Lonchura striata: one gene and its partner. Each later gene encodes a partner of the first gene's protein in a complex. Links are inferred from orthologs where the notes say so. Each region holds a gene or a part of one and is shown on either strand. Other genes may lie near its edges.

Region 1 (6,882 bases):
CATGGTGAAACACTGAATTCTGGTGTGTGGCTAATAAATTAGTATTTAATGCCACTGCCTAGCAGCTTTGACTTTCATGAAAACAGATAAGCACTCAAATTCACCCCTTCGCTCAGCAACCAATGAAAGTCATAAGTAAACAAAACTGCTTAGATTCCAACACTTTCAGTGGTGTATGAAGTAGCCGAACATTACTCATATTGCACTTCAGAGCTCAGATGTCTCAGAAGTTTTTGAACACTACACACTCACAGAACGCCCAGCCCCTCAAATATCATAGAACTTATCTGGCCTATCCCTGCATCCACACTAGCAAGAAAAAATTTTAAACTGAACTTTATGTTTTTTATAGACTTAAGCAAACACTCAAGATTCTTTGTTGGTCTGCTGTAACACAGGGGAGCATTTTCAAGGAGCAAAGAAGCCAACAGCCTGCTTAAAAGCTGCTCGGATCCGACTCCTCCCCCCAGTACAAAGAAACGAACTGTCCAGCCTGAAAGCATTCAAGTGTTCTAAAGTCCCACCTCACATCAGTGACACAAGGCCTCAAGAACTCTATCCAGAAACATAGAAACCAGTGGACAGGATAAAGCAACTACTTAGCTACTGAGAAACTACAGAAGAATGACTGAAAAAAGAGAAGATTTTAAGAGCACGAGCTGACTGAGCTGTGATAAAGCAGCAGCAGCAGTGCAATAATGGGGGAGGTGTCTGCATTTCAAGTCAGATTTTCCCCTATTGCAAGTGCTTAATATGCAGTTTAAGACAATTAACAACAATCACCAGAAGGTTTATCAAATAAATTCATAGGAAGAGCATTAAATTCCACCAGAACTGCCATGTACTGCCTGACAATCTGAGGCTTTATGGTTCTGTAACAAACAGGGCAAACCTCCAGTAGAAATGTTGGCAAACTCAGAGCCTGGAACTTACCAAGTCTTCTGCAAATGCTGTTGAATCAAATGCTGACATCTCTGAGTGTAACTCACTGGCCTTCTCCTTTCCTATATTGGATGCTATAACGAGGAAATGGGCATCCAGTGCAGCCTCCCGTGCACGGCAAACTGGTACAGAAAAGATTTTGTGGTAATTAATATAAAATTGTCACAAAGAGAATTATCAGATTCAACATAGGGACTATCCTGGCTTAAGTGCTTTGGAAATCCTTTTATTGAAATGACCTCTAACACATTTACATAATCATCATAATAATATTTACATTAAAAAAAAAGGAAAGAATGACAAACCATGGAAGAGTAACACACAATTTTGAACAACAAATGCATTTTTTAATCAACATGCTTTCCACCTTTCCAAGTGAAATGAACCCCTCTACACTGATATCTTTTATGTGTATTACTGATATATGCTGTTCCAGTGAATCAAAATAAAGCAAGGAGTTATTTCTAAAAGCAAATAAACTGCAATGACATTTATTTTCTCACATCAACTTACTGAACCAATCTTCAACTCAACATATCTATTTTAAGTTATATAAAATTCTGATGAAGTACTTGGACCTCAACTTCACTCTTTTGCCTCTTTTGTTTGTAAGGCATCATCGCCTCATGCTTGGCCAAACACATCAATGAAAGACTAATGAATTTGTTTTACCTCCATCAAAAAGTCTATTGGCTTCTTCCAAAGCTTCTGTCAGCCTGTTGCTTTTTGAATTCAGCATGGCTTCTCGATTTTCTGTGGGAAAAGACACAAAGAAAATCCTGAATTAGAAAATATAGAAGCACTGAGAAACGCTGCGCTTGTTTGATGCTGAATGGAGGCCAGGTGCCCACCAAAGCTCCATCACTCCTCAGCTGGGCCAAGGACAGAAAAGAGAACAAAAAGCTCATGGGCCTAGGTAAGAGAGTTACCTCACTAGCAAAACAGGCTCGATTTGGGGAAATGAGTGGAATTTCCATGAAAGAAACGAACCAGCCACTACAACTGTACACTTGGTCAGTTCCATAAACAGGCTGGATCACCCATAAACTGCACTGTAGCTTCTTGCAAAACAACTGCACAAATTTATCAAGTATTCACAAAATAACTAATCCCACGTATTGCTGAACTTGGCAGTGCTACTGAGCACATTTCTGTGAGGAAAACAACACAACTCACTCAAATGGATATAGGAGAAGGACTCACACACTTGTCTGGAAAGATGCTAAAAACTACACAGCGTTTTTGGAAGTCCCAAGATAACTTTCCAGTCCAGGCACATAATGATACCTGCAGTTTCAAACTAAAGCTCAGACACCATGAAAGTGAAATTAAAGGATTTAGCTGCATCTCCAGGCCTTAAGCCGACTGTTCCCCTGCACCAATGCAGCCACCACACGTGTGTTAGTGCAGCTAAATCCCTCCTAACCTCGCTATCCCAGGGCATGCAGGAAAGGAACTTTGCACAGGCCTCAAACTGAAGGAGAGTACGTTTAGATACGGGAAAAAATTCTTCCCTGCAAGGGTGGGGAGGTCCTGGCACAGGTTGCCCGGAGCAGCTGTGGCAGTGTCCAAATCCAGGCTGGACAGGGCTTGGAGCAGCCTGGGACAGCGGAAGGCATCCCTGCCACGGTTGGAACGAGAATACCCGTAAGGTCCCTTCCAGCCAATCCATGATTTGCGAGTCGAATTTCTTTCAGAGTCCAAACCCAGCGCATCGGCAGCCCGAGGACCACCCGTTTCCCCACACGGCCAGGACCGGCCGCCATCCCGGACCGCTTCAGCCGCGGCCGCAGCGCTCCCCCGGCTGCCTCCTTACGCTGCACGGTGGAGATGAGCTCCCGGTACTGGCTCCGGATCATCCTGTTGTGCTCCCTGTCGTCGTCGTCGCCGTCGCCGATGCTCAGCTGCCGGAGCCTCTCGCCCGCCGCCTCCTCCTCCGCCGCCTCCTCGTGCGCCGCCTCCGCCGCCTCCTCGCGCGCCGCGCGCTCCTGCGGCTGCGGCGGGCGCGCGCGGCGGCGGCGCGCGGCCGGCGGGGACTCGCCGCTGGTGCCGGCGTGCGACATGGCGGCCGCCAGCCGGCACCGCGGGATGCGGGTGACCCCGCCCCGCGGCTCCGCCGGCCTTCCCGGGATGCGCGCACCGAGTCGAGCCTGCGCAGTGAAGAACCTCAGAGGATCCTGGTGGAGGGGTCTGCGGGCACCGCCGGTGGTCGTTGAGCCGATGCGCTCTGCTCGCGATCTTCCATAATGGCGCTGCTTGCCGCGCCGGTTCTGCGCGGTCCGTTCCGCAGCGAACGGGGCTGGGCCTTTCTGACTCGCCGCAGGGGCGGTTACCGATCTCTCAGCGTTCCTTTACATTTCCTTCCTTCCTCCCTCGGAGTTCCGGTGGCTGCCCGGGGCTGGGCGCTGTGAGCGGCGGCGGGCGGTGCGCGGAGCCGGCTGGGCGGGGCCGCTCCGCTGCGGGCGCGGCTCCATCGCCGCCGCGGGAGGGCGCTGCGGGCGCGGAGACCGCGGGGCGGGAGGCGGAGACGGCCAAAGTCTGAGGGGAGCGGGGGGAAGTGAGGGAAAGGGTGAGCCCAGTGTCCCAGCGCCTCTAATAATGGATCCGTGAGGCAGCCAGCACCTGAGGGGAGAGGGGAGAAGTGAGGGAAAGGGGTGAGCCCATTGTCCCAGCACTTCTAATAATGGATCCGTGAGGCAGCCAGCGTCTGAGGGGAGAGGGGAGAAGTGAGGGAAAGGAGTGATCCCATTATCCCAGCGCCTCTAATAATGGATCCGTGAGGCAGCCAGCATCTGAGGGGAGCGGGAGAAGTGAGGGAAAAGGGTGATCCCATTGTCCCAGCGCCTCAATGCAGAGATGGGTCCGTCAGACAGCCAGCGTCTGAGGGGAGCAGGGAGAAATGAGGGAACGGGGTGCTCCGATTGTCCCAGAACCTCTAATAATGGGTCTGTGAGGCAGCCACCGTCTGAGGGGAGCGGGAGAAGTGAGGAAACGGGGTGCTCCCATTGTCCCAGCGCCTCTAATAATGATCCGTGAGGCAGCCAGCGTCTGAGGGGAGTGAGAAGTGAGGAAACGGGGTGCTCCGATTGTCCCAGCACCTCTAATAATGATCTGTAATAATGAGGCAGCCAGCGTCTGAGGGGAGCAGGAGAAGTGAGAGGGAAGAGGGCGCTGCGATTGTCCCAGGGATGTGTCTGGAAACGCCTGCTTTAGTCACTGAGCAGGGATCTGTGCTCTGGCAAATGAAATAAATTATAGGCCCATAGAATGGTTTGGATTAGAAGGGACTTTAAGGACTGTCTAGTTAGGATCATGGAATCATCAGGGTTGGAAGTGATCTTCAAGATCATCCAGTCCAAGTGCCCACCCAGCTTTGTCACTGTAACCCCTAAAGGACATCACTCAGCTCCTGAACACCTCCAGGGATGGTGATTCCACCACCTTCCTGGGAACCCATTCCAAAGTGCCTAAAACTTTTCTGATCTCTAATCAGAATGTCCCCTGTCTCAGCTTAAAGCCATTTCTCCTGGTCGTCTCACTGCAGGCACAGCAGAGACCGGTGCCACCTTGCTGCACCCTCCTCCAGATCAGCGGGTGGACAGTGATGAAGGCCCCCCTGAACATCCTTTTTTTGTGTTGAAAACGCTCGCTCCCTCAGCCATGCCTCAGAAGAGCTCTCTGGAAACTCTCCATGTCCTTTCTATAGTGAAGGGCCCAGCGATGAATGTGCCACTTGAGGTGTGGCCTCACCAATGCTGAGATCAGGGGGAACATCACTTTCCTGGTCCTGCTGGTCCCTACAAAATATAAATCATAACATTTAGCCCTTCATAGCTGAATAATACTATTATGTTGTTCTAATTATTGTGGTGGGGGTTTCAAGGTATTCTTGGGAGTATTTCCTTAAACATCTTCATAGTTCAGCTTGACTCAGTATATAGACATGGATCTACTTCAGTTTGCCCAAACCAGTACTTCAGCTGGACTACAGACTGCAACTATGCACAACCTACCTTTCAAAATATATGTTTGAAATATGTAATACCTCAGCTGAACATTAATAAATTATATTTGAGCTCTTGAACCATTTTCTATTCTTTGTGTGACTTGTAGAGTGCTGTCAAATTTGCATTGCAAATTCAGTATGAGTAATTTACTTTCGGATGCTGACACAGAAAGGCTCAAGAGAGGATCCAAACAAGACCAGGGCCCATTGTACACTGCAGTACATAAACACGTGGTAAAAAAATATTTGAGATGCAAATACAGGCTCAGCAAATGTGAATTACAATTTTTTACTGTCATCTCACTATGCTTAATAAGAACTCAAGATTTCACAATATTGCAAGACATTGCCCTGCATTTTTGTTTTGAGATTCTGCTTGTCCAGATGATCAGATCTCTGCCTTCCTTGCTATTATGTATCTGTCAATTGTTACTGTCAACAGTGAAAATGATAAGTGAAAAAATGCCCTATATGCATCTAACTGCAAGATTTGCCAGTTGTCTTTCCACACCAAGATTATTTTTTATCTGATGTTCATTCAGTTCTCATTCATGCATATACATCAAACCTTATTCTAATTGAAGCGAGAAGAGTCACATAGAGGAATCCTAAAATAAACATTTTGATGTAACAGGAGAGTTTCACTGTGTGCAGATTTCATCATTCCCTCTTTTATTCCTCTCAGGGTGCAGAAATGAATGCAGAGTTTCTGGCATTTAGAATTTTAACTCATAACGTTGTACAATTTGTATATACCATGATCATACAGGTACTGTATTTCAGCAAACAAAAGTCAGTTTCCATTGTTGCCAAATACAGAGCAATAATGTGTTTTTTTCTGGTGCTGAGCAGTGAATTACAAGAGGGACTCAGTGCATCTCAGCTTGGGAGCTGCCCAGCACAATGGTGCTCTTACCTAGAGCCTCTAAAACATGGAGCTACCACTGCTTCATTTACTGTCAAATCTGTTCACTTGTCCAGTTCTGGAAATTGGCCTCCTGATGTGAGTATCCCTGATTTGCTAGCAGATGTTCCCAGGCATTAATGGAAAAAGATTTGTCTTTAAATGAGACCTTTTAGTCACTGCCCAGGAGTAAACCTTTTTTGCATTTCCCTTGAATACACCAAAAAAAAGTTCCTGTTTGGGATAAAGACATAAAGCAAGCAATTAGTTGTCTGAAATTATGGCAACACAGGACCTGTTGCCCAGTGATGGCTGTTCCTGATATAAAGTTAATCCTGGTATCTGAAATGATACCAGGATTCAATCTGGTAATTGAAAACATCAGAAATAAAACATCTGAGATATTTGGCATTCAGCTGCCAGCTCTGCAAGCAAACAAAGATGAGAAGAAACTCTTCTAATGAGTGCAGCTAATTTTAAAAAGTTGTTTTAGTAATGCAGAAGTGTGAATTAGTATACTTGGTTCTTGCAGCAGCTTTTATTTCTGTACTTACAGATAAACCTGTGGGGGTGAAAATCTGGCAGCAGATATTCCCTCAGCAGTGTGGATTAGGTTACAGCCCATCACATCACCATATGCATTGTGCCAGTCTAAGATGGGATTTTCAGAGACATATGAAAGAACAATTATTAATAGAACTGTGAAAAAAAATATCCCAGTTTGGTGAGATGTCAAGGAAAAAAATCCTTTTAGGATCAAACCCTCACTGGCACCAGAATCCCTTTCTTTTTAAGGACTTGGAAGGTTTCATTAAGTGAAAGACTGACAACAGGTCGCTACAACAACAACATGTGGAAATCATGCTGCTGGAGACCAAAATACTGAAAATCTTCCACTTTTTCCCTACAATCAAACAGCAATGTAGAAAAATAGAAATAAAATAATAAAATAAAATAAAATAAAATAAAATAAAATAAAATAAAATAAAATAAAATAAAATAAAATAAAATAAAATAAAATAAAATAAAA
Region 2 (7,017 bases), on another chromosome or scaffold:
TATCTTCTTTACCACCCTCTGGATCTGCAATACACACCCAGAGCCTACACCCTTGTGGGGATTAGCTGCTCTGTCATTATTAGAACCTTCAAGTCTTTTTGCCTATGCTGTGCCTATCCACACTGCTCACATCCATTGGTTTCTTCTCAAAAATCCTCATTTTCTTCTCTTCCTTCTTCATCCTTTGCCATAACCCGCTCAGACATGTAGCTACCATGAGTAACATGAACCTGGTATGCAGAATTTTATACTTCAAGTTGCAGACTAGAAAAATTTTGCATCAGCTTTAGATACACCAAAAAAAAAAAAAAAAGAAATAAAAAAAAGAAAAATAGATACAGCAAAGCAGAACTCTTAGATAGACAGAAGTATTGCATTTTTCCATGTAAAGAATAACTAGTATGTTCAAGGACTATATTGAGATGCCATTGGGGGAGATAGAGAGTAGAATCCACAAACAAATTTGGGGTATACCAGAGGGGGAAGAGTTGTTCTATCAATAACAGCCTTTAATAGGCTATAATCCAACAGCAATCTGGAAAACATGTTAACAGAAAGTATAGTGCTTTTCCCAAGCTTTGTATACCTAAGCTGTATCTCTCTCCACTGCTTTCCCTGAGACTCCAGAACTACACCTTGTGCTCACCCTAACCTGAACATTGCCATATTCCTCACAATACAGACTGAGACCTGCTGTCTCTTAATGTTTATTTCCAATCATTTTCCTTTTTTACATTTATAAAATGTGCTTGGCCAGTCAATACTATCTTTTAGTACACCATCTTTAGGTCATGTGCTTCCAGCAACATTTTAACAACAGTTCAACCTCACAACAAATTTAACTTCTTAATTACATGGAAATTTTTATTCCTCTCTATCCCCTTCTAAAGGTGCATCTTTCCACCGATGCAGCAGGCTTCAACAGCTCTTGTTATGTCAGCTCATGCTCTTCCTGACAGAAGACTGTGACTGATATCATTAGAGGTCTTTAGAGGCTGTCAAACTGACAACAGAAGACAAGGAAAAGGTTCCTTATAGAACTCCCTGAAAGTAAAGAAAAAGGATGCTCTTGAAGATTTAATAACAAATTCCTTCAGCTAGTATATTATTTAACTTTTTTTTAAGGTACTTGTTTGCCATCTTAGCAAGACTGTTTGTATAGAACCTCTGTGATCCAAACGTACACTATGGAATAGTCACATAAAATCATGTTAGCAGCTTTATCTTTCTGAGCCCATTTTGTGTATCAAAGTTAACAAAGAGAGCCTAATTCCCTTCTTGAACTTGGCAAATCTCACTGAGAAAACCTGCTGTTCTTTTGGAAATTTCACAGATATGCACTGTGAAAGCAGGAATCTGAAAAAAAGATACAAACAACAGTGAAAAGTTAAAAAGGCTCTTTGTTCTCATGAGCAAATTACACAGGAGCAGAAGTTATGGTTATGACATTAAATCATATCATTGCATGGTAGGTTAATCTCAATCTGTCTTTTGGAAAGTAACTTCTTTTAGATTAATTTTCCTTTTTTTTTTTTTTTTTTTTTTTTTTTTTTTTTAATAAAAGGCTATTTTTCTTAGAAACTTGTTACAATCCTATAATGCCCCAGCCTACTTGATGGGTTCAGAGGAAGGCATTGGGATATACCCTGGGCAGTGCATGGGAAAAACAACCAAATTACCAGGAGACTCAATAACAACTTTTATTTCCAAACTTTGGAACGTTCAAGTAGAATAGGGTACTTGGCAAATTTTAAAACATCCAGACAAAAATCAAGTACTTCCCAAACTTTAGCTCAGCGAACTTTTAACTTCTCCAGACACAAGAAGAAACTGGAAGTTTCCAGTCTGACTTACATATTTTGAGAAGAGTATGCCAGAAAACCAGAGAAAGAAAGAAAAAAAAAAAATGGGGAGAGAAAAGTAAATGGCCATCACCCCAGGATCCAGCATTGTCTCAGCAACTTCTAAACCCCTGGCAGCAGAGCATGTTTGGCACACGTGTTGCTTTGCTTATATCTTCTGTGCTCTGCCACTTCAGGGCTTACAGATCCTGTACCCCCACCACTTCCCAGCTGGCTCTTTTGAGCCGGTCAACTGTTCCTCAAGTCTCCTACAGATCCCAAGGCAAAGATTTCACTCTTGAACTAAGTGAATTCCTCAGCTCAGTGGAGCTGTCCATTCTACCTTTCAAGGGAGGGGCACATTCCTCTCTGTAACTGGTTTCACTGCAGTGTTTCTACCGCACTCTTTTCGGCAGGAAGGTCTTCAGTGGGCGCATCAAAGCACTTATCATGTGCAACCTCCAGCCCCTTCACTTCTGGAAAACACAACCAGCAAACTCCGTGATGAATGGGAGACTATCGAGGACACTTTTTTTTTCTTTCAGGAAGTGATGAAATGGTCCAGACAGGATAAAGAACAAGATAACCCTACAGTTTCTATTCCGTTCGCTATTTTAAATATTTGAGGAAATTACCTAAACTTTCTATTCTTCAATGTCTCAATTTCTATTATTATATAGTATTCTATAGAATTCTTCAACGAGTATGAACCAGAGGTAAGAAAAAAGTATTATTTGCTTCTGTAACAGCAGCTCCACAGGTGCCAAGTGCTCTCCGAGCAGCAGGATCAGTGTCCAGCCCGGGCACACTCGGTGATGAGCGCCCACAGGGAGACGGCCGGGCGGGGAGCAAGCTCGCCGAGCAGGGCTCCGGCTCCCAGGGCCTCTGGCCGCCTCCCCGGCCAGGGCCGGCCGCCGGCCAGGGCAGGCCGGGCAGTCCCACACGGACACACGGCCCCGCACCCGCCCGCCGCCGCCCCGGAGCGCTGCCCGAGCCCGCGGAGGGGACGGGGCCGGCGGGGCAGCCCCCCTCGGCGGCGGCGCTGCTCACCTCGTCCCGCAGCCCGGCAGCGCAGCGGTCCCGGCGCGGCCCCGCGCCGCCTCCCGCAGCAACCGCAGGCGGGCAGCGCCGGCACCGGGGCGGGCGGAACCGCCTCATCAGCCGGCGCCGTCATGTGACGGGAGGGCTCGGCTACGACACAGGGAGCGCCGCCGCCTCCCTCCCGTCCTTCCCACCCTCCCTCCATCCTCCTGAGCCCGCAGCCGTCCCTGCCCGCTGGCGCTCCCGGGCGGGGCGGGCGGGGTGGGTGCCGGCGGGAGCCGCCGAGGGAGCGGGGCCGCCTGAGCGCAGACTGTGAGTTCGGCGGTGGCGGAGCGGGACGGGACGGGACGGGACAGAACGGGACGGGACGGGACAGAACGGGACGGGACGGGACAGAACGGGACGGGACGGGACAGAACGGGACGGGAGCGGGTTCGGAGCCCGTCCGGCCGCTGCCGCCCTGGAGCCGCTGTGCGCCCTGCGGAGCGCAGCCTGCGGCGGCACTGGGCACCTGGGGGGGCTCCGGCCGCTCCTTCTGGGTCAGAACTGCCTTGGGACAGCGCACTGTCAAATTATCGTAATGCTCCAGAAAGTGTTTGGTGAAAAGTCAAGCCTGGTCATAATTTTCCATAGGTGTTTTTGAAGCACAGACGCTTATTTTTGGCGCTGCACGCCGTGTCCCGCAGGAGACGCGTGAACGAGTAAAACTGAGCAGGAAATGCAAGCACAGCATGGAAGCTCGTCCTTTAGCAATAAATAATGAACGGAGCTCTGTCATTTCCATTTGCTATGAAAGTTTTCCTTATTGCTAAAGCCCTTATGATCACTTCGGTTGACTTTTTAAAGTGAATCTTAAAAACACATTTTGTGAAGTGACTTTGCTTTCCTTGGGCCCAATCTCCTCGCCTGGTCATAATTGCTTCACTATTTGTGACTGTTTCATTTTTTAATAGTGTTCTTCAACTGTTCTTCAAAAGATCACACTTCCCCTGCCTGCTCAAACAGTTCACTTCTCAAACTAAGTGTACGTGCTGAAAATGAATTCTGTGCATTTTTTCATTTCAAAAGCTGTGGATAATTTAGATTTCATAATTTGAAAGATTGGAGAGTATGCTTAAATATCCACAAATTAAATTATCAGAAACATGAATATAAACCACGCTGGATGTGTGTGGGTTTGTTTTTACAGGTTATTAATGGCGTGGCTGGTCTCTTCATCAGGCTTTCTGCTTCCAGTAACCTAAAGAGTAAGGATCAGAATCAGACTGCAGGACTTCTGCTGCTCTGTCACACTGAGCTCCACAATGGTGGATTTTCTGGCTGAAAACAATCTCTGTGGTCAGGCAATTCTTCGGATTGTTTCCTGTGGAAATGCCATCATTGCAGAACTTCTGAGACTTTCCGAATTTATTCCTGGTGTTTTCAGACTAAAGGACAAGGCTGATCAGCAGAAGTATGGAGATATCATATTTGATTTCAGTTATTTCAAGGTAAATCCTTTTATTGTTAAACTTCTCCTTAAAGCATTGCTGTCCAACATGAGGATGTTTTAGCTTGTGATACAGCCATTCCTGACTATTGTGTTTATTACTATTACATCTTCCAAAATGTTTGATGTGTCATCTGGCTGTGAATTTTGATAGATATCAATTATATAAGACATGAGTCTTGGATTCTGGGGAGGTAGTAGTAGTGGCACTAGTAGTAGTGGTAGTAGTGGTAGTGGTAGTAATTCCTGCAGGACCACTAAATTAAACTTCCTCCAGCAGGTTCTGAGGCTGCATGGTTGTTTGTTTCCCTTCAGAGCAGTGCCGTGGGCAGCATGCCCATCTTTCTTCTGTTAATCTGTAGCTTATTCTTTGCAGCCATGAAAACTGCTTTCTGCTTTCCTGTCTGACAGTGCTGTGATTGTTCTTCCTCTGGACTTGTCACATGCACTGAATAAATAAATAAATAAGTCAAGGAGAAGTGTCCATGGAAAGCCCTTATTTCTCTTTCAGAATTAAGCTTTTAATACAAAATTCCCTCTGTCGTTTTCCACCATGATTAAGAAGGAACAACAGAGACTGTCTAATCTGACTTTATTTGGACTGTCCAATACAAGAAATGTTAATAATAAAGCAAGGGAGGCACTTTTAAGTCAATTTGATTGTAGTAGGAGTTGTAAATTTCAGGCACCATGAGGTTTGGATACTGAAAATCCAGAGCACAAATGATTTCACAGTTACCTTTAGATCTAGGTGTTTGGTAGAATTTTTTTTTTTTTTTTTTGCACAAATTACTTAAAAGTCTAAAAGCAGATAGCTGTAATTGGTAAGAAATACAGTAATCCTTAAAGCCTCAGTAAATTTGAATGTTAAGAAAGCATAAGTGTGCTGTTTTTCATCATTAAAATCAAATAAATCCATAGAAGTCATACTGTTAAAGCAAAGATTAGAGAATTTGCAGATATTTTTACTGCAAATGCACCCCTTCTGTATTCACAATTCTTAGAATTACTTCTGAGGAAAGATTTGAGATTTGAAAAGTTGAGACTAGTTACTTTGTCCATTTTAACTTCATAGGCAGTTTGGCACCTGTTTTTATCCTTTGTTTTATGTAGATATTTTGCACAGAAAGAGAAGCAAAGAGTATTTTTAAAAACTCAAATTGTCAGCTGGATATTTTCAATTGCATTTTAATAGTACTTCCAATTAAACTTTAGCATTATTTTCCTTTAGTTGGTGATGCTAATACTGCGTGGTGCTTATGAGAAATACGACAGTGGTAAAGGGCTAGAAAAGTTGTATTATTGCTTTAAGGAAGTCAGGTTCTTCATCCCAAATCTTTTTCCCCCATGATTGTTAATGACAAAGTGTCTGCATTAATTCAGGAGACAAGTACTGTCTACACATGTAGAGTGTGGAAAAAACATGTCTAATATTTTGAAGCAGTTTGAATATATGAGAAGATACTACGCTTTCTGAGCCCTCAATGTTGTGGTTTCTATCTGAGAAGTCAACCAGAAGAAATGGGTAAAGGAAAAAAATTCCATCAGTGAGATAGTTAGCACTATAGAAAGCACCCAGTGCCTTCAGATATACTGGGGCTTTACTGAAAGCATTGACTATTCTTTTCCATTGGATAAATCAATTTAAAGTCATTGCAGATTGTAACAATGTGGAAAACTCATCTTTATGGAATCAATATTTAGCCACAAACTGGGTTAGAAAACTACAGATCCTTGTTTTGGTAAGAAATGATAACTGTAGTTTGCACACAGGGGTGGTTGTACATGGTCTGTGTCCTACTGTAGAGAAGTCAAGTAGAGATCAAAGTCAAGTATTGTCTCTAAAGGTGAGTTTCTGTTTTTCAGGGGCCTGAGATATGTGAAGGTAAACTGGAAGCCAAGCCTGAGTTACTGGATTTAGATGAAGAATTTCGTGAAAACAACATTGAAATTTTGACAAGATTTTATTTAGCTTTTCAGAGTGTACATAAATACATTGTAGATTTAAACAGGTATGGTATCTTGAATACATACAGATTCTTAAAGACTAGATTTCTGTTTTGTCCTATTGATTAGAAGCTTTTTCCTTAGAGACCCAATATACTCCTTGTTGAAGCACATTCATGTGCATCAACAAACCTGGGTTGTTGCTGAAGTGAGCACTAACTTTTACTCCAACAGTTCCCTTCCAGGTTAATATATGACTTGAAAACATTTAACCTCTCTACCTCATTTCCTCAACTATAACTATGAGTTTGTTTTTCTTTATCTTAGAGATTGTCCTGAAGATTTTTTTTAAATAAAAGGAGAATCCATATTGTTAAGCTATTTTTTTTTTTCGATCTTGCAAAACAGAATGTTAGGTAGTTTGAGGGTTTTTTTTAATTTTCATTGGCATTATTTTCTTGAACTTAATCTTTTAGTGAAGATGCCATATTCTCAAGCTTGTTACTTTGACATGTAAAAAGCAAAATTAAAGCTTCATTAAATGCTCTAAGAAAAAGTTACTGAGGATCTTAAACGTGAGAGTTGGCTTTACTATTAATGTTATGTGAAAAAATTAAATGTTTGATATTACTTACGAAGTCATGTTACTAGAAGATCCTTTAATAGGAATAAATCTTCTGTTAATTCAGGTGAACATAC

Evidence for each region.
Region 2: NSMCE4A (region 1) and NSMCE2 share a complex: the UniProt entries of both Homo sapiens proteins name them as parts of the SMC5-SMC6 complex. The link is inferred for Lonchura striata from reciprocal best matches to the Homo sapiens genes NSMCE4A and NSMCE2.

Annotation. Positions count from the first base shown.
Region 1 is NC_134609.1:28,228,224-28,235,105, forward strand, and holds the start of NSMCE4A (non-structural maintenance of chromosomes element 4 homolog A), read right to left. Parts: upstream 3,006-6,882; coding exon 2,759-3,005; intron 1,696-2,758; coding exon 1,615-1,695; intron 1,065-1,614; coding exon 934-1,064; intron 1-933. UniProt on the Homo sapiens protein: Component of the SMC5-SMC6 complex, a complex involved in DNA double-strand breaks by homologous recombination. The complex may promote sister chromatid homologous recombination by recruiting the SMC1-SMC3 cohesin complex to double-strand breaks.
Region 2 is NC_134603.1:11,866,775-11,873,791, forward strand, and holds the start of NSMCE2 (E3 SUMO-protein ligase NSE2), read right to left. Parts: upstream 3,015-7,017; 5' UTR 3,000-3,014; coding exon 2,892-2,999; intron 1-2,891. Other genes in the region: WASHC5 (WASH complex subunit 5), read left to right, coding at 4,187-4,372, 6,238-6,383. UniProt on the Homo sapiens protein: E3 SUMO-protein ligase component of the SMC5-SMC6 complex, a complex involved in DNA double-strand break repair by homologous recombination. Is not be required for the stability of the complex.